Lonchura striata: one gene and its partner. The protein of the gene in region 1 binds, or shares a complex with, the protein of each later gene. Links are inferred from orthologs where the notes say so. Each region holds a gene or a part of one and is shown on either strand. Other genes may lie near its edges.

The links.
Region 2: SUPV3L1 (region 1) and PNPT1 share a complex: the UniProt entries of both Homo sapiens proteins name them as parts of the mitochondrial degradosome (mtEXO) complex. The link is inferred for Lonchura striata from reciprocal best matches to the Homo sapiens genes SUPV3L1 and PNPT1.

What each region holds. Positions count from the first base shown.
Region 1 is NC_134609.1:34,901,238-34,911,204, forward strand, and holds the start of SUPV3L1 (ATP-dependent RNA helicase SUPV3L1, mitochondrial), read right to left. Parts: upstream 3,897-9,967; 5' UTR 3,706-3,896; intron 1-3,705. UniProt on the Homo sapiens protein: Major helicase player in mitochondrial RNA metabolism. Component of the mitochondrial degradosome (mtEXO) complex, that degrades 3' overhang double-stranded RNA with a 3'-to-5' directionality in an ATP-dependent manner.
Region 2 is NC_134605.1:27,016,698-27,026,914, reverse strand, and holds the start of PNPT1 (polyribonucleotide nucleotidyltransferase 1, mitochondrial), read right to left. Parts: upstream 4,262-10,217; coding exon 4,077-4,261; intron 2,641-4,076; coding exon 2,580-2,640; intron 2,267-2,579; coding exon 2,192-2,266; intron 1,743-2,191; coding exon 1,637-1,742; intron 1,341-1,636; coding exon 1,291-1,340; intron 829-1,290; coding exon 765-828; intron 680-764; coding exon 632-679; intron 1-631. UniProt on the Homo sapiens protein: RNA-binding protein implicated in numerous RNA metabolic processes. Catalyzes the phosphorolysis of single-stranded polyribonucleotides processively in the 3'-to-5' direction. Mitochondrial intermembrane factor with RNA-processing exoribonulease activity.

The DNA of each region.
Region 1 (9,967 bases):
CTTCCCATGAAATCAACCTTAAATTATTGAAAGATTGCCTCTCTAAAAAGCTGTATCAGAGACAGCCCACTTGGCACAATGAAAATCACCAGCTGACAAGAATATGGCAAATTTAAATGCACATCCCATACCACTACAGGAGTGTTTTAATGGATTAATTCATGTTCTGAAATGTTCCCAAAGATAACAAAAACACAAAGGCACCAGCAGAATTACATTTCCTAGGAAGGCATCCACACTCATGTTTAAGGGCCTTGAAATCAAAGACAGACTGGAAAACAGTGCAGTATAAGCAAGTACAGGCCTCAGCGCTCTTCAGAGCTTCCCAAGGAAGCTCCAGCAACTAACACATCATCAGCCACGCAGCTAAATTCACAGCCATTGGCCTTACTACAAGAGTAAAGGTCAATGCCAGAACATGTTTCTATCCAAGGCAACGTGACATTGGGACCAAGCTGCCCAAGGTCACAATCCTTCCTAAGCACAAACACTTGTCTAAACAATAAGGTAAATTGAAACAAAACAAAGCTGGCATTGCAGCCCACCTGAGCTTATCCAAGAGCACATACACACTCTGAACATCTGGGTCCTGTCTCAATCACCACCCTTTTTACCCTTCACTCCTGCTTTGAGATTTCCCTTTGTTTACCATTCTCTCATTCTAGAATTGTGTTTTAGCTCTTACTCCTCAATTACTTTGATTTCTCAGCAGCACTTCTAAGGTTCTCTGTAAAAAGACAGCCAGACTGCAGTAAAGTTCAGAAATCATCCAGTTAGTCTCCAATGTATCAGATTCATTTAGCTGTTTCAACCCTGTTTGCAGGAAGCCTTTGAGTCATTACCCTGTATCTCTGACGGCAACAATCCACTGCAGTCAGGCTGAATGTTACCACTGGGGCAGCTGAAGCACTTTATTTTACAATTCCTCCCCAACTATTAGACTCCCATTGCCCAGTCCAAGCAACCTGTGCATCTACCAAGGCCCCTGTTCAGGCATCTCCTGCTCCTGCCACGTGAATTGCTGCCAATACTTGGTCTGTCCTGACCTGCACCTCCCACAGGTAAAGCACAGCCCCACGGTCAGACAACTGAAGCCACAGAACTGACATTCAAGGACAACTGAATCACAAGATACAAACACCAAAATTGAAAGCATCCATCAGCACTCACAGGGGTACTCTTCCTATGAAGTTGTGGAAAACAGAAGCAGTGAATTAATTCCAGGTCTGTTAGGAAGTTTTTACAAAACTGGGTTTACAAAAGTAAGCTTCTAAAAAGACCTTTAGTCTTCCTAACAGTGTTTGACTAATGTGAAAACTATAATCACTCTCACTTGAGCAAGCTAACAAGATTATTCACAATGCAAGTATGCTCACTAACAAAGTTTCTTCACAAACTGTAACCAGAAAGATCATAAATACACATATTCCTTTACTGAATTTAATTCAGTACTTGGCAGCAGAATCTGATAAAGTATCTTCATTTAAAAAGATAAAAAACCAGATGCATAATACTGTGTGTGGTCAGAACCTGAAGGGGGAAGCAGAGAAGACTATTTATTTCATTTTTTTTTTAATGGCTACATGTAAAGAAGTTCTCGTCCAGTCTTTTCTAACATTATTGGGTTTCAAAATACCAATACTTTTAAAACACGTCATTGTCTTTTTAAAATAGTTTTCAATATTATTGAGAGAGCACTAGAGGCCAAACAAGTCAGATGAGCATCCCACTGCAGCATTCACTTTCTCTGGACAGAGAGACAGAATTCTGTCTCTCAGGAGAAGCACAGAGATGTGAATGCCACACCCCACAGGTCACCTGGCTGCTATTTCCTGCCAGTCTCACAGGGAGGAACATCAGGCTGACTGAAGTGGTTCATTTTCACCTGTGCGAGCACACATAATTTTAGCCAATCTGTTCTCTCTCAACAACTTAGCAAATACCAAACAGAATCTGTACTTAGTTTCCCAGAGCATTTTAGTTTAGCATGTAGTTTTGAAGAAATCCAACATAACTGCTCCTCTAACAAATGAGACAACAGGCAATGTACAAGTAAAAAGGCATCATTCATCTTTATTGGCACCTCAGGAATGCACTATTCATATAAAAGACAAGTTTGACAATGCAGATTTTTGCATTACAGCTCCTCAGGATTCTTCATCCTGATTAGGTGGGTTTTTTTAGCTTTTAAAGTTAGATATTCTTTTCTCCATAGTTCTGAACTATTAAGATAATTTGCCCATGCTTCTATACTCTGGAATTAAGATAAATAATACCTCATCATTAGATTATGAGAAGATATGAAAGATTTCCATTTGCACCCTTAATGCTTTCAGATCAGCAAATATCAAAAGAATCAAGACCTTGTCTGTTATTTACCAAATCTTTAAAGATCATGGAGTCCTAAGATCATAGAACTGTCTGGGTTGGAAGGGACCTTAAAGACCATCTCACTCCAGTCCCCTGCCATGGGCAGGGACACCTTCCACTATCTCAGGCTGCTCCAAACCCCATCCAAACTGGCCTTGGACACTTCCAGGGATGGTGCAGCCACAGCTTCTCTGGCACCCTGTGCCAGGGCCTCACCTCCCTCCGAGGGAAGAAGTTTTTCCTAAAACCCAATCTAAACCTACGCTCCGTCCATTTGAAGCCATTCTCCCTGGTCCTGTCACTTCAGCCACTTTTGATCTAGGCACATTCACACACAGACAAACTTTTCGGTCTGTAACATCAATATTTGAGGAAACTACGTCTTTCAAGTTCATATACAGTTATGGCTCTGGAATGCAAGAGATTGCAGTTTGGCTGTGGGACCTGCCCCAAGCCAAGCACCTTTACCCCGACCGAACGGAAGAGCGGCCAGCAGAGCGTTTCCTCACACAGGGCACGCCTGCGGGCCCAGGCAATCCCAGAGTATCCTGAGCTGGAAGCACCCACACGGGTCATGCCCTGCACAGCACAGCCCCATGAATCCCACCACATGCAGGTGCCCTCTCACCTGAGAGCCTTTATCCCACTTCACCTTCACGGGCACAATTAGCTTCAGGTCACACAAGCTGTGGGGAAGGACACCCTTCTCTTAAGGGGGAAAGTTTCTGAGCCCAGGAAAGGACCCGAGAGCAGCAGGGGACAATTCCCTCAGCCCTCAGGAGGGTCCCAGAATCACAGAATCAATTAAGCTGGAAAAGACCTCTCCGATCATCGAGTCCGACCTACGAGCAAACAGCACCTCGTGTACCACAAGCAGTCTGTCTTTAGACACCTCCAGAGATGGTGACTCCGCCACTTCACCGGGCTGTCCCAATGTTTCATTACTTTTCCTGTGAGAAAAGTCCTCCCAATGTCCAACCTGAACCTCCCCTGGCACAGCTTGAGGCCGTTTCCTCTTGTTCCGCTGCTGTTCCTTGGGAGCAGAGCCCGACCCCCATCTGGCTGCAGCCTCCGGGCAGGGAGCTGGAGAAGGCGAAGTGTTCCTTGAGCCCTCCTCTCCTCCTGGCCGAGCCCCATCGGATTTGCGCTCCAGCCCCGCTGCCGTTCTCTGCACCAGCTCGAGCTCGCAGCGTGCCCCCAGAGAGCTGAGCGGCGCAGAGCCAGGCACAGCGCTCCAGCCGCGGCCTCGCCAGCCCGCCTCCGGCGCTGGCGGCAGACGGCGGGCGAGGCCTCACGGCCCCCGCCCCGTCCCCTCACGGTCCCGCCCGCACTCACCCTTGTCGAGGGGCCGCGTGAGCTCGGCGCCCACGTCTTCTTCGGCCGCGCCGCCGAGGCCGGGCTTCAGCGGCACGGGCACGAAGAGCGAGGTGTCGGGGGCGCGGGAGGCGCCGCCGTCCCCGGAGGAGGCCGGCGATGAGGGCGATGAGGACGACGCCGCGGGCGCGGCGGGGCGCGCGCGGGGAGCGCCGCCGCCATGGCGGAGCGCGAGCGCCGCGCGCGCGGGGAGCCGCCGCAGCAGCGGCCACGCGCAGCGACTCATCCGCAGACAAGGGCGGCGGGCGGCCCGCGCGTCATCGGCCCGCGCCCGCCCCGCCCCCGCGCGTCATCGGCCCGCGCCCGCCCCGCCCCCCGCGCGTCATCGGCCCGCGCCCGCCCCGCCCCCCGCGCGTCATCGGCCCGCGCCCGCCCCGCCCCCGCGCGTCATCGGCCCGCGCCCGCCCCGCCCCCCGCGCGTCATCGGCCCGCGCCCGCCCCGCCCCCGCGCGTGCGCGCCGCCGCCCCCGCCCGCGCGCTGAGGGAGCGCAGCGCCCCTCACACACACACCAGGCGGGTTTAGTGAGAATACAGCTGGTTTAATAATTCAAATAGCAGCTTAGGATGTTTTCCCCCGCTCATTATACATGGTTGCACAATCTGAGGCTGGTCAAGTACAATCAAGTTTTTCAAAATCATCGTTCCCAGGTTTACAACATGCAAGTGACCGTGAAAATATTTGGTTGGGTTTTTTTTTTTTTAAACTTTATTCTTTTAAGTTTCTGAACAGGCACTTACATGAGGGAGTTGGATTTGCTCTCAGCCGAAGATATCTGCGTTAGGAGTATCCTAGCATAAAGTACACAGAGTCTTTGCTTTATCAAAGTGCCGCAGTAATAAAACAGTTCTTACATAAATGTAATTTGATTATTTACTTACTCAGAAAGTAAGGTTACCAATGACACTTGCACCGGAGCCAAGAAGCCTTGGTTTAAAGGCCAAGTGAACTACAAGTGCAAGTTGCCTTCCTCACAGCAGGCTTCCATTTGTGCCCAAGCCACACGTCTGACAACAGACCCCACACTTAACTCCTTTAAGCTACTTCTTCAAACACTAAACGCCTATGAGATGATGATAAAGACAAACAATCTGCTGAGCCAGACAAGTTTCTAAGTTTCAAGGCTTGCCTGGCTTTGAATACCTTTGCAGAAGACCACAAGAAGCTTGTTTGCTCTAAGAGGCCCAGAAGGATGTCCTTTGGGGACATTTTGCCTCTCCTGTCAGGACAGATAGACACTGACTGTGAAGACAGCGGAATCATGAAGCCAGGAGGAAACACAGTTTTACATATTTGCAAAACAATCAGTGTTAACAGCATTTACTTCATCAATAAGATAACTATGTTCAAATACTTTATCCACTCAACACCTGAGGGTGAACTCAAAGACAACCCTACAGTCACTAATTACTGGGTAATAAGCCCCCAAAAGTTAGGAGCAACCCGTGTGAAAGACTTTGAGAAGTCTGACCGGGAGCTGGGGGAGAGAGGGCAAAGATACTTCCCAATATTCTTTGTTACTGACAGATGCAGAGCCTCTTAGAACCGCTGGTCTGAAGGCTCCAATCATAGTGCACATACATGCAGCTTCAGTTAAACCCTGTCTAATGTAGTAATTAGGAGATTTTAGAAAAATGCACCATAAACCTTGATTTTTAGTGTGATTTAGTCAATTGTGTCTTAATGCAGTTTCAAAACAAAACAAAGCAAATAAGCAACATTGGAAACAAACATGCAATGAACAACATGAGAGACGGGAAATGCTTTAGTCTATATTGTAGAGGTGAGCAGCAAAAATCAAATACACCAGCCTATCATGCATGGAAATAACTAGATTTAAGCTTTTGCATACCCAAGTGCATACAACATTATCAAATAAAAGGAAATGTGCAGTATAAAATAGTAGCTTAAGAAAGTTCCAGTGTTTGAGAAAGCACTTTATTTTAAATGTATATACATACTTGAATGCTTAACTGAAGAACGCTTTAGTAGCATGGTAAACGCAGCACTGCAAGATGAAGGAAGACAGTTGTAATGGGAATTCCGGCCTTCTTTTCCCACAGGCTGCTGCCATCTTTAACCTGCTGAAGCACTGCAAAGGTTTTCACCTTAGACCAGTTCACATTTCGGGCTGCTCAGCAGATGCTTGTGACTCTGGAGATTCAAATCGTTGGTGGAAGTTTGTCCGTTGTTTCCTCAGCTTCTCAGGAGCTTTTCTCCACAAAATTATTTCCTATTTGAGGAAGAAAACACTCTTGAAACCAATAGTTGCCAATAAGGCAACAGCATCAAGTATCTTAAGTTCATGATAAACTAAAACTTTTGGGAAAATAAAAAAAGGTAACAAAACACAAGAGTCCACCAAAAAATGCATCCCCACCACTTATCAGTGCAGTTCATATAAAAGTAACAGAAATACACCATCATTAAGTTTACATACTTAGTTACTGCTTGAACAATCTTGAGCAGTCACCCCTTCCTTAACTACACCACCCTCAATTTTAATACTATTAATGAGTTCAAGAAATTTTTCTTCCTCCTTTTCCCAAAACCCAAAGCCTACCATAGCCACTGTATGCTCCAGCTCCCTCTTGTTTTCCATGTTTAATTACACTGTCTTGTCTGCTTTGTAGTAGGAAGATTTTGATCTAATCCACAAAGCTTCTTCCAGTGACCCTTTTGGCTATCCCTTTCCTCAGCATCACCTCATCTATCGAACATTTTTAGTAAAATGCCTTAGTCCTTAATTAAGGCTTAGCAGTTTTGAACCCAGGCTAGTGCAGGAGGGGAGATTTCTCTGCAGGAATTTAAGGAAGCAAACAAATGCACCAGTAACTCATTTTACCCATCCAGTGTTTTTTCTGGATATTCCCAAATCAAGTTCTATGGTACTGAGCACCCTTATCCTTGCTGGAACAGCATCCAGCATCCTCCTTGGCTCCTTTGCTGCAAGGTGACATCATCTACAGAGCTGTCAGCACGCCTGCCAGCAGAAATGCATGTGCCACACATGAAGCACAGGTGGCTCAAAGCCGCATGTGAAACAGCCCAGATAATTCTGCAACAGGATTGTTATAGACCATACCTGCTGTTTGAAGTATCGTCTGTCTTCTTCATCCACAAGCACCAGATTTAAGAAGTACCTCACTGAAAATTTTTTGTTCACATCCCTCATTGTTGGAGTTGGGTCGTAGCCCGCTAAGAACAATCTTATAGGAATCGACTCCCCTGCAAAAAACAGAAATCCTTACAACTGGAACAATTAATACAGTTTCAGAAGACATGCAAAATAAAAGCAATTTCCCAAGCACTGCCTGTGCTGTTCCTTGGTTAAAAAAAAAACTAAGCCAAACAGCACAAGACATAAAAATACCCACCAAAAATCAGAAACATAACACTAAGCACAGAAGCAAGCATGAAATGAAAAGTGAAAACCCTTTCTCAGTGCAAGTATGGTAGCCAGGAAAGCCAGAAGGATCAGTATTTTTAACTCCCTAGAGCTGGTCTACACCATTGAGTCAGGTTTGATGAAAACATCAGTAATACAATTTCCAATGGTAAATAAGGGTAAAAGTTACTGGTATCCCATGGAAATGCCTTAAGTCCATGAAAATGTCTTCTCCAAATAGAAAATGCATCATCATTTCAGCAACCTAAGGAGAAGTGTGTCCCATATTTTTAAATAGGATTTTAACACTAAATGCTCCCACTTTAAAACAATCACAGTTATTTACCTTTAACTGGTGCACCATCCATTATTTCGTACTTTGCAATGGTTTCAGTCTCTGTTGTAGTACTGGGTCCTGGTGAAACAAGTTTTTATTGTGAACACATGCTTCAGTTTTAACATTCACAAAGTTTTATCACAACAACTTCTATTCTGCAGCTTTTAAATTAACACAGCCCCGCATTTTTGCCCTTGTCTTGCATGTAAGTCAGACATGGCTAAAGCAAGCAAAACCCTCTCCCAAGCAGGACATTTTTCTTTCTCTCCCTCACCACGCTAACACAGATGAGGCAGGCACCAGAGCTTCAAAGGAGCCCTGGATATGCAAGCTTTAAATAAGGGACAAGCAAGAGTGTTGCAGAGGATAGATAGATATGATTGTTATTTTAGCTAGCCGGATGTCACTTCTACCCTTGGATGAATCCTGGAGTGAAATGGACTGTTCCATCCCACCCTGCAAAAGATTGTGGTTCATCCCGCACCTCTGTACCTGCCCCTAAAACAGAGTCTGTAACCCCATTGGCCCATGCCGTGTCCCAGCCCACCTGGGAGCCCCTGATAAGGGGGCTCTGAGCGGCCATGCGGCCTCTTGGACTTCCTCCCTCTCTTGGCCCTCTCTTCCCCTCTAGGACTCCCTCCCTGCCTGGGGCTTCCCCTCTCCTAAACCCTCCATTTCTCTCTCCCCTCCCCCGTCCTCCTAAGCCCAGCCCCGTGCTACGCCTGAGAGCACGAGGCTTGGGCATTCCTGAATTCTCCAATAAACCTCTTCCCCCAAGAGCAAGCTTCAGAGATCTCTGCCTCCCTACACCCCCAACCGTGCAAGAGGAGCCTACTCTTCCCTCACAAGAGGGTATGGAATCCTGAAACTGCTCTGCTTGGTGAGCAGTGCTGGCAGCTGATACTGCCTAGGCCATGCTCAAACAAGGAACTGAAGGGTTATCAGCCAGCTCAAGAGCCAGAAATAAAGTAGAGCTTTCTGCCCTTCCTCTAGTAGAAGCTTTCTCATTCTCCATACAAGAAGCTCCCAAAAACCCCAGCTACTGGGGAATGAAGTGTCATGAGCCACAGCCTCTTTCAGCCTTGTTCCAGTGAGTACAAGCCTGATCTGCAATAATCAACCTGTTTCTGCTTCAAAGCCACTTGGTATTTCTATCATATCCACTTTTTGGATGACAGAAAATGACACATTTCTAGAACATGTCTGATTTATGCTAATGTTTACCAAGCCCCCCTTAATCAGTCAATCCCTGTAAAGGCAAGGGGGTCTTCAGGATGCATTTTACACCTCCTCCCTTGTTCTTTATAAATTAAGGCTGATGAAGTTACTGTGTATTTATGCCCAAGTTCCACTTACAAGGGTTCACGTTTGTGAGGAGTCACAAGAGTCACAACCCCAGAACAATTAAACAAACTGGCAGTGTTGACTACGAAGTATTATTGCCAAAGCACAAAATGCAAATGGTAGTCAAACACCAGTGAGAATGAAGCTGGTGGAGCACTGGTTCAGCCAGCACTACAACTACTGACTTCACTCTCCAGGTCTGCATAAGACTCAACTGGCACACAAGCTGCCATTTCATTTGGACTTTATTTCTCTTACCAATTCCAGTAATCTCCTTTTTGATCAGCTGCAACTCCATGTGCTGAATTTTTATTCTCACTAAGAGGAAATAAATTTTTCCAACAATCACATCCTTTAAGTGATACCTTTAAGAGAACAAAATGGGGGGTTTTGTTAAAGAATAAACACAAGTTTTGCACCTTCTTGAACACAAGTCACACAGGCAGTTATCTGCCTGAAAACTACTTGGAGCTTACTTCCCCGGTGAACTAAGCACTTCAGCCAGACCAGAGCAACTGCAATATTTCCAGCATTCTATCAGGATCAGTAAAGGAAGTACTATCAGTCATACTGAAAAGGTGTAAAAGCAAAAAATAGGTCTTAAATATTTGCCAGTGACCTTCCTGTTAGTACTGAAGACCGAACAGCCCACTGTAACTCAAAAAGGCCTTTGTGTAATTAGTACATTACATTTTAAGTCTCCAGAAGGTGAAGTTGGTCACCATATATTACATACTGCACCCTTTTATACCAAGTTATTTACTTAACAGCATTTTGCTGTGACACTTACTTTGACTTATTGTATTCAAACTCTATGTGGAGACAGTCTTCAATGCCTACTTCCATTTTGATGGAGTTGTTTACATCTGGGTATGTAGCGAGCTGGTGAACTATCAGATCATATTCTTTCACCAAGTCTGACAGCCGTCTCACTATTGTCACTTTTAGGAAATACCTAGGGAAAAAAACATTGGATTAGCCAGAATTATTCAGAACTAAGAGCCCTCGTGTTCTGAAGTACAGCTATTCTTTAAAAGATCAGTGTACAATCTCATAAGACTAAGTAGAAAAGAGTAAGATACCAAAATACAGGACAAAACACTCACATGTGGGAGTGTTTTCTTCAGTTGTGGGTATGGGTTTTTCTTTTAAAGGA
Region 2 (10,217 bases), on another chromosome or scaffold:
AACAGCTAATAACAATATTTAAAGCTACAGACTAATTTTAAAATATCAGCATGTTGACTAGATATTAAGAACAAATCTAGAAGACAAGACTACCCATTCTAAGAATGGGCACTTTTGAGTACTATTACTGGATAGGGCAAATAATGCCAGTATTACACACAATGCTGTGAGTGTAATGGGAGTATTTGTCATTTCAGCACATGTTTTCTAGAAAAAAACAGGCAGCTAAAAGGAAGATACTTGTTCAATATTTGTTCTGGGGCAGATCTTTTCTCTTCCCAGAAAATACTCACAATAAAATAGATCTCTTTCTGAGTTCCTTGAGGAAAAGTATTCTGAACCAGCTATTTTCCAAATTATGCTTTTCAATAAATATGTTTCTCTTAAGAGAAAATTAATTTATTGGTTTCTATAGTACATTATTTCTATATTGTATTTCCTCTCAGAAGAGCATTTTGTAAAGAAAAAAGTAATCCCTTGAAGTGCAATAATCCTCTCCATTGCAAAATTATTTCCAGGGCTTGAAATTTAATGTTTAGATTCAGCTTCTGCTTTAAAAAACAAAGTACCACTTGTGGTCTAAGTGTTCCATTACATTAAAATTACACATCATTTCAAAATGTTTACTTACCAATAGGACCATTCCAGGGGATATCAGACAAGGCAAGCGCTGCAGAAGCTGAAAAGAAGATAAATACCTGGATTAGAAAAAAACTGATCTCATTAAGTCCCACCAAAGCACCAATTTCTCACAGCCTTCTTACCTCCATTAATTGCCAGAATATCAGGATCATTGACACCATCTACTGCTAAAAGATTACAAAGGATCTGGCATAAGATAAAAGACAATGAATAATTTTGACCTATACATTTTTATTAACTGTCAATACAAAGCTAAGGACACTAAAAAACCCCATGAATCTACACAAGTCTATGTTTCACATGGAAATTTTTTTCAGGTATTTAATATAGAAAGCTGAAAATAAAGCCCCATTAATGGATACTATTGTATCACATCACAAATAAAATATTTACTGTTAGCATCTTTCCCCTGTTGTACAGAGATTTTAATTTTGCTCCTGCATATTGACAACAAAATTTGGAAAGTAGGATGAAATAATATTGTAAGACAAGAAGATAAAACAGATTAAAAGCAACATTACACTTGTTTGTGAAGTACAAACCCCTCCTTGATGTCAATAAAAATAGTTTTTCTTCAAACAGGGCCTGGGTAATGAAATTTTCCTTGGCCATATTCAAGTTTTCTGTTTTGAAGGTAGCATGACCTACCTGTGTATCATAAAAGTAGCCTGCAGGGAAGAGTGGTCTGATTGACCGATCTGCAAAGAAAATAATCAAACTTTTAATAAAAAGTTCATAAGAATTTGGTTTCAGTAGTTAATAATCAGTTTGTACTGCAATGACCCCACAAGAAACTGACAAAAATGGAAAAAAAAAGAGACAATACTATAGAAAATGTATTCAGCATGACACATGTAACCTTAAAATTTCAATCACATTGATAAATAAATTACATGTTTGTTTCTGACACATTATAAATGGCTGTATTTTCAAACAAGCACAAGAAAATGACAACATTTTTGAAGTACATTGTAAATAAAAGGTTTCAGCCTACCTATTACTCTGCTTGTAAGAATTTCTTTATCAGTGGAACCAAGCTCTCTTCTGAGATAGTTTGTAGGAATTCTTCCTGCTGCAGCAGCTTTCTGCCGGTAGTCAACCTTCCAAAGAAAATTCAGGGATTATTAATGACAACTGATTATTTACTGCAGAGCCACAGAAACCCCCACAAGGGACCCTTGGGATCATCCAGTTCTAACCCCAATTATCTACTTCCCACCCTTAACAATCACAGCCCTTTGAGCCTCACAATCCAACCAGCTTTCCACACAACCAAACCCAGATACCAGAGCTTGGATGATACGGCAAAGTTCGCAAGGGCTTTGAAGACAGCCTTACTAAATCCAAGGCAGGCAACAGCCAGGGCTCATCCCTCACCCACACAAGGATCCTGGATTTTATCATCAACTGCATATCTCAAGTCCAGGGTCTGTCGTCTACTGTTTGCATTCCTCACTCTCCCCAGCATCCTGAACTCCACTGTTTAAGGACCATGACTGCTAAATTGATCACTGATTAGCACAAAACTAATTCTGTCATTAGTACTTACCACTAATGGCATAAACTGAGATGGAGAAGGCTTGGTTTTGCTGACTGCTGTGACCATCACTGCTGTGTCACCTAGCTGTGTTAAGAAAAACAGGTGAAAACTGAAGTTACCAGAAAAGAAAATAACTTCCAATGTTCTAAACTTAATTCACAAACCAGTAATTCTTAAGAATTATACCTTGCAGAAAACCACTGCATAAATCCACAGTTCACACTGCTGTCTTTGCTTTTCAAACAATTTTTCCTATACAATACAGCTGTCCCTTTGTTAGGGATGAAATTGCCACTTGAGGCTCTATATCCCACAGGCTCTGATGCCCACACAATGACTTTCAAGTTTCAGAAATTTTGAAGCTGGACAAATCTTGACTTTTTTTTTGTTTTTTTACCTGAACAACAGCAGAGCCATCAGCAAACTTAGCAAGTTTTCCAGAAGACAGCTCCATCTTTCTAAAGGAAAGAAACAATCTGTTACATAAGCTTATAGTGAATCCATCTACATTTCCCAGCAATTTCTGCATTCACCTGTAGCCTCAACTGCACAGAATAAAGGCTATGCTTCACAAGAGATATAAAAATTCTTCATAGATATAAAAATTGAAACTCTTCGAGCAAAAATGAACAAACCCACTTAAATTTCAACTGCTTTAGTCTCAAGTGTCCTGCTTCAGACTTAAGTGTCCTGTTTCCTTTACTTTGAAGCAAAGCCTTGGAGCACATCAGCTATCTCTATCACAAAGGTGAATCATCACCTGTTCCAGCTGGGGTTTAGCCACTGGAAAACACCCTCAAGGGCAAGGGGAGCTGCTTGCACACATCCCACCACATCTGCAGAATACTCCTTCCTTTGTGGCAGAGGATGGAGGGCAACAAGGCAATGAGGGCACACTCGAGAGTGAGATATGGATTATTTATTCTAGGGCTGTGCTGGGTGCTATTGCACAAGCCCCGCACACCCTCCTAACTTTCCATACTTTTATTTATACACAGAAATGCAGAGCTGGTCCCTTCCCAAGCACAGCCCCTCTATTATGATTAGTTAGTAGTTTCTATACAAGTTATCCCAGGTAACTTGTTCACATGCTCAGGAGAACACCTGGGCAAGGCCCTTATGACTTGTAGGTGTGATTTTCACTGTTATAATGAACACAGTTCAGCTACAGAATCACAGAACACTTTGGGTGGGAAGGGACCCTGAAGATCACCGAGTTCCACACCTCCACCATCTCAGGTTGTTCCAAGCCCCATCCAACCTGGCTTTAAACACATCCAGGGATGGGGCAGCCACAGCTTCTCCAGGCAGGAGAGCTCAGAGGGACCTCACAGGGAAGATTTTTCCCCTAATGTCTCATCTAAACTTACTACCTTTCATTTTTAACCCGTTCTCCCTTGTCCTGTCACTGCACACCCTCACAAATAGTCTCTTCATCTTTCTAGGCAGCTCCCTTCAGGTCCTGGAAGGCCATAATTAGGTCACCCCAAAGCTTTTTTTCTCCAGGCGGAACAATCCCCATTCTCTGAGTCTTTCCTCACCCGATAGGTCTCCATCCCTCTGATCAACTTGGTGGCCTGGAATATTTTGCTAAGTTGGCAATGTACACATAGACATCCATCAGCAACTTGATTTATTACATCCGTAGGGCTCCTCAGAGCCTGATGTCCCTGACTCAGCGACGACAAGGCTGATTCCACTGCTCCGGGCTCCCTTCTTGCTGATTAGGCTTGCCAGCACACCAAGATCCGATATCAAAGAACGTCCTGATTGAGAATAACCTCAACACGTGCCTCAACGCACTTTACACCAGTTTTTCCTCGCGTTTGCCTTACCCTCCAGCCTGGACAGCGCTCTGCCCTGCCGCCCCCCCACACCCCTCAGAGCCGCTCACCTGCCGCCCACCTCCACCGTCACGGCCCGCCCGGGCTTGTGCCCCGCCGAGGCGCCGCGGGCTGGCACCCAGGGCAGGACGGGGCGGCCCGGGGGCAGGACCCGCCGCCACCGCGCCGCGGCCCCGCCGCCATCCCGGGACAGCGCGCCCAGCGCGGCGCGGCCGCAGCTCCTGGCGGCCGCCATAGCGCCCCAGGCAGGAAAGGGCGGCCGCGCGATTGGCTCGGGGGAGCGGCGCCGCGCAGTAAGAGCGGAGCGGATTGGCTGAGGCGTCGCCGCGCCGGTTTCGGTTCCGTACGGGCGCTATAGCGGCTGAGGAGGGTCAGGCAGCGCAGAGCGCGCGAATGCGGCTGCTCCGCCACTCTCGAATTCTGGGGTAAAAGGCGGCAGATAAAGGTCCGTGGCGCCGCTTGTGGCGGCCTTGGAGCCACCTCGGTCTGGAATCTGAGGAGAACCCGCTCGAACAGGGGCTTGGAGCGAGGAAGAGGACAGGGGCACCGGGCTGCCGTCTCTTCCCGCCCTGGCGCCTCAGGAGGCCGGGTGGCGCCTGCCGGGCTGGCCCCGACCCTGTTTGGGGACAGGCCCGAAAGCCACCTTCAGTTCAGGAAGAGAAAAATATGGGCCTTTGCAATTAATTTATTCCGCAGACCTTGTTCTGTAACACAGCCACCAAAATTAAAAAAAAAAAAAAAACCAAAACCCCAACAACAGAACCCAAAAAACGAAGAAAAAAAATACCACCAAAAAAACCCCGACCAACAACAACGACAAAAAAAAAAAAAAAAAACAACAAAAAAAAACCCAAAAAACCCCATAAAAACCAAAACCAACCAACCAACCAACCAACCAACCACACACAAAAAAACCCCCCAAAATAACCCCTAATACCAAAAAACAAACCACCAAAACCCCAAATAAACAACCAAAAACCAACCAAAACATAATTTTAAACCAGGAATACCAAAATAATCTGTACTGTGCAAGAAGAATAGAACACAGATATTGCTTATCACAAACTTCATGTGCTCTTACATGCTCAGAGTGCATCAGAATGTCACTCGGGACAGTGGTTTTGTTACTTTATTAATTATTCCTCAGTGTAATGCAAAATAGATTAGTAATTAGTGTTACTTACGTCAATGAGGTGAGCAAACAATAATGTGATTATGGAGATCTGATTGCATCAAAAATGAGATAGTTTATATTCATTGAATCCCACATGTATCTGTCACGCATCACCTTAAACTCATCTGCAATCTGGATTTAACAATTTAAATTTAGCAACTAATTATTAAAAATCTTAACAATTTACTACTATTTTATTTCTAAAGCTATTTTGATGTTTGTTTACTTAACTGGAGTTTTCTGCCCAAGCTGCTTTTATTGGAAACAGATTCAAGACTGGGAGAATAGTCCAAGCAATAATTTTTCTTTTGTGCCAACATGTTTTTTATCTTTTTGGCAAGACACAAAAGAAAGAAGTAAAATGATCTGAACTTGGGATTTGGCCTGGGCAAAAGGACTGTTAACTTTATCCAGATTTACTACTTATTGGTACAGTTTTTTTGGTACAAGAATGTATTAGCTGGCAAAGCAGAAATGTCCCCCATAGTCTCTTGAATTCACATTCACTTTGCTGCTGACAAACAGACAATTATTTGGAATGTTTTTTGTGTAATTATTACGATTGCTATTCTCATACCAAGATGGTAAGGGAATATTTCATCACTGTCATGGACTGACAAACTATGGCCATATCACTGTCATAGGAAAAAGATACCAGAGCTTGGATTTCATTCAAGATACTAGGCAGCAAACAAAATGAATGTTTAACATCATGAAAGAAACCAAAACTATGGTTCATCTATTAAGAAAGATTTGCACTTCATTTCCCTCTTCATTACCTCTGTTTGTTTTTTGTTTTTGTTTTGGTTTTGGTTTTTTGTTTGTTTTGTTTTGTTTGTTTATTGGGGTTTTTTTTTGTTGTGGGGTTTTCTTTGGTTTTTTTTTTGTTTTTTTTTTTTAATTCCACTGTTGAAAATTCAAACAAAAACCCCCAGACAAGGCACAAAATCGGATCATGATTAAAGCTTTTTGGAGAGCAGCAATAATTTTTGAGCCTTTTCTAGCAGCCTCTGCCACACTGAAACATGTTTAATACCACCCTGTGACATTATTTCATGGTTTTATGCTGTATGGGCCCTACTGATTGCTAATAAAAGTAGGGGTTTTATTTAGGAGCAGCTTAAGCAGCTCCCTTTTGGCCACTTTGTCTGTGCCCCCTCCTGTCCAGCTCACTGGGTGTGCTGGTGCAGCAGAGAGCTCTTCTGCTTTGAAGTTTGACAAGTTCCTTGAGGGAATTAGTTATGATCCACATAGTCTCAAGCCACTTCTTTATTTTGCCATTTATTAAGCCATTTATTTATTTGGTCAGGGTCCATCTGTAGCTGATTATCCAATTTTATCCATCCCCATCCTGCGGCTCAGTAAATCTCTTGCTTCAAGTGCTACAGACACTTGTTAAAAAATGATGTGTGGCTATTTTAAGGAACAGTAAACATGCAACCAACTGCCCTAGGAAGAGGCATTTTCCATGCACTCCTCCACTGGATGGCTTCTCATGGCTCTATTTTTTCCTGGGCTCATAAACAAGATTAAATTGAGCCCCTTACATATTTTGTCATAAAGCTCTACACTTTTATTATTTGATTTATTAGATTTTTTTTTAAAGAGACAGCCATTGTACAGACCTAGCCCTATAAAAGCAGCTCAATATAGAATTTAAATTAAAAACAAACCCAACAAACAGCCTGACAGTGATTTATTTCCTCCTTTTTTCCATCATTGCCAACAAAGACAATGCTGATAAGAAATTGTATCTACAGCTGTTCCAGGAAAGATTCCTAGTGGTGTTCCAGCCATTCCACCATGCCCAGGTGGGGCATCCTATTCTGGATTTATTGCAAACTGTGAAGAACAATTATGGCATCATTAAATATTCCTGAAAACCCTGGATGCTGCACCTGAGCAAGTAAGTTCTTTGGAGCTGATAAAAATGTTTTAGCAGGATACAGATCTCTCATCCTAACTTTCTAAAGAAGCCTTAGGAGAATCCACTGAAATTGCATTACTTTAAAGCGACTTGTTTTCACTTGGCTTTCTTTCCTCATTCTTGTTCTGTTTAGCTCTACTTTGATTTAATTTCCTGCTGTATCTCTTGTGATGGCTTTCAGATGCCACTAGATTTCCTTAGCTGGTATAACTCCAGTGTCTCAGTGTTCTTCAGAAAACTCAGGTGGATGAACTTTGCAATCAAAATGTCTGGTCTGTGTCTCATCCTATTTTAGAGCAGCACCACCCCTCCTTCCTTTCTCTCCCAAGTTCCTGAGGGCTCTGTGCTGCTCTGCTCCCTGAGCAGATGTGAAATTGCAGTATTCCCTGGGAATGGAAGGTGGATTTAAGCAGAAGGTGTAGGTGAGTAAACTGAAGCCTGTGCTCATCCCAAGCTGTGCTGCCCTAGCAAGCAAGTTGGAGATTTCTACAACCATTTGTCTTATGGGACTGCTTGAACACATGTGAAAGAGATGAAAATGCAAATTCCCTTTCCCAAATCAGTGCTGTGTTTTCTAAAGTGATCTGGTGTGTTGGGGTTATTTTATGTTTTATTTTTGCACTCTATAAGGAGCAAGTAAGGTAGAGGGTTGAATAATTGTCAGAGCAAACTTTTATTTTCCAGAAGATTTATTTGGATGTGTCAGTAGTCAAAGTGCATGTGTATATAAAGCCTGTGTTTCATGCCCACAGTGTAATAGATACATAAGGTGTCATCTTTTTTTTTTTGCTTCAGCAGCAAACTTTGAAACCATTTGAGTCCTAATTTTTATTGCTGTGCAGCCTAAACTTAGTGAAGGACTTCAGGAAAGTGGTTGCTTTTTTTTTTTCCTCCTTGTGGTAGGAGACCACAGAAGTATAACACTAAAGAAAATATGAGCTCCTTACTTGAACTTGTAGAGTCAACTCCTTCATGTTTTTTTGACTTCTCTTTTGTCCTATTTATTATCTTAAATTGAGAGTTAAAGCATCTTATAAATCAATAAACTGGGTTAAACGAAGCCTTCCTGCTGGTGTATGGGATGTAATGTGTCTCCATAGGCCAGATTTTAGGGGTTTCACATGAAGGAAAAACCTAGACCAGGGCAATTGGAACTTTTGGCAGGTCAAAACACGCTCAGCAGATGCAAAGGGTGGGAGCAGCCTCTGAAACTGAGGGGTTGTAGTGGGAATTTCTGTATTCAGCTGCAGGGACCTTGTAGCTGTGCTGGGGATTTGACTCAAACCTGTTCTGTGAGCTGGCAAGGGCAGTTCTACAGGGTAGTGGGTAGCAGTTTTATAGTCTAACTGGAACCCCCCCATATTACTCAGATACACAGCCTCTATATTGTTCTTCTTTCCAGGAGTTTTAAGTGTCCTTGACCACATACTCTGTTTTCTGGGAGCTGTGGATTTGGGTTCTTTGACAATTACAACCACTTGAATTCCCTTGCTCAGTCTGGATTGTGCTGAAATAATTATGTACATGTGCTGCAAGATTGTATTAATGTGTATTTCTATCTAACGAAAGGAAAACTCTTCCCTCTAACAAACTCAGTCCTTTTAAAGGTGTTACCTTTGAATTTGATACCTCTTTATTGAGCTGCTTTCTCTTTCACCAACTCCCCAGGAACCAGGAATGTTCCAAGTCAGCTACCATGTGGATGTTCTGCTTGTATATATTTACTTGTTAAATACATAGACCTGTTTGTTGTAATATGTGAGATTCTGCAAGTGTTTTTTATTTGCAGCATGTTTTTGAAATAAATGTTTTATTTGAAGTGGTTAATATACTTTGGCAGTGGGTGTTGAGCTGGAGGTCAGGTGTGTGCTGGGGGCTGCTCCTAGCATTGGACAGAGGGAAGAAATTAGTAGATGGGCCTGGAACACTGGCTTCACCAGAAAATCAGAGGGATGAGCAACCACAGTGAGAGTTACTTTTTTTTTTTTTTTTTCCCAGCCAATTCACAGAAAAACAAGTGTTCAAGGCAGTGTGAAACAACACATTTTAATTCTCCCCTTTTCTCGGGGGGTCTTCACCATGCCCTGGCTTTTCTGTAGTACAGAAATTGAGAATACCGTGCCCACGTTGTTGCCAGGACGCTCTCTGGGCAGAGTAAAACCTTAAAATGTGTGATTTGGTGTGTCTTTATTGAAAATAAGCCTGTGCCATACGGTGGCACTGGTGAGCTGAGCCCGGGCTGTGCTGCGCCCGCCGCGGTCCCGGCTTCGTTCTGGCTGTTTCCTGGTGGTGCCTGCAGGGCGCAGCTTCTGCCCACGCAACTCCTCCGTGGCTCGCTTGGAAACTTCCAAGGTTACCCTGAATATTGAGGGAGTAATAGAAAACAACGGTTTGGTTTTCATGTCAGTTCTTAATTTGCATGGGCGAGTGACCGGCACAGAACTAAAGAGACAGAAGCAAAGAGACAGATCTACAGAAATAGTAAAAATGTACAGAATTTACTATGGTCAGTGCTCTTCCTTTTTGTCTGCAATGAGAGTGGAGAGTGAAGAGACCCTAAATTAATGAATTAAAGAGGAGCACCTAGAGGTGCGATTTTTAAGCCTTTTTAAGCATTTCTGTGAACACTGATCATTCAATGCTGTGCCTTTAACAAAGGAGTTGAGCAAAGCTAGATGCAAGAACACTCTGTATGTGTGGGGTAATGTTCAGATTCCTCTATTCTAAACTAAATTAGCACCACTTCTAACACTACAAATGACTTTGACTTGTAGTGTAAAAACTATGAGTGAACATCATGTGTAATGCACAAAACTTCCTGATGTGTGTGCTTGTTTTCTGTCAAATCAGTTTTTGGGTGCCCTAGTTAAAATGATTTGCAGTCTAGAAAACACTCCAAAAATCCATTTGAGGGCTCAGCACTGCTCCAGGCTCCTCTCTGTGTCACCCTGATCTTTGTTGGCTGTGAAGAGACAGAGCTCCATTAAATGCATATGATGGGAATTATGACAAATACCAAGGAATATAAGAAGGTCTGAAATGACCCAAGGCCCTGAATTCCTTGAGTGATTGAAGGGCAAAGTGTGATTG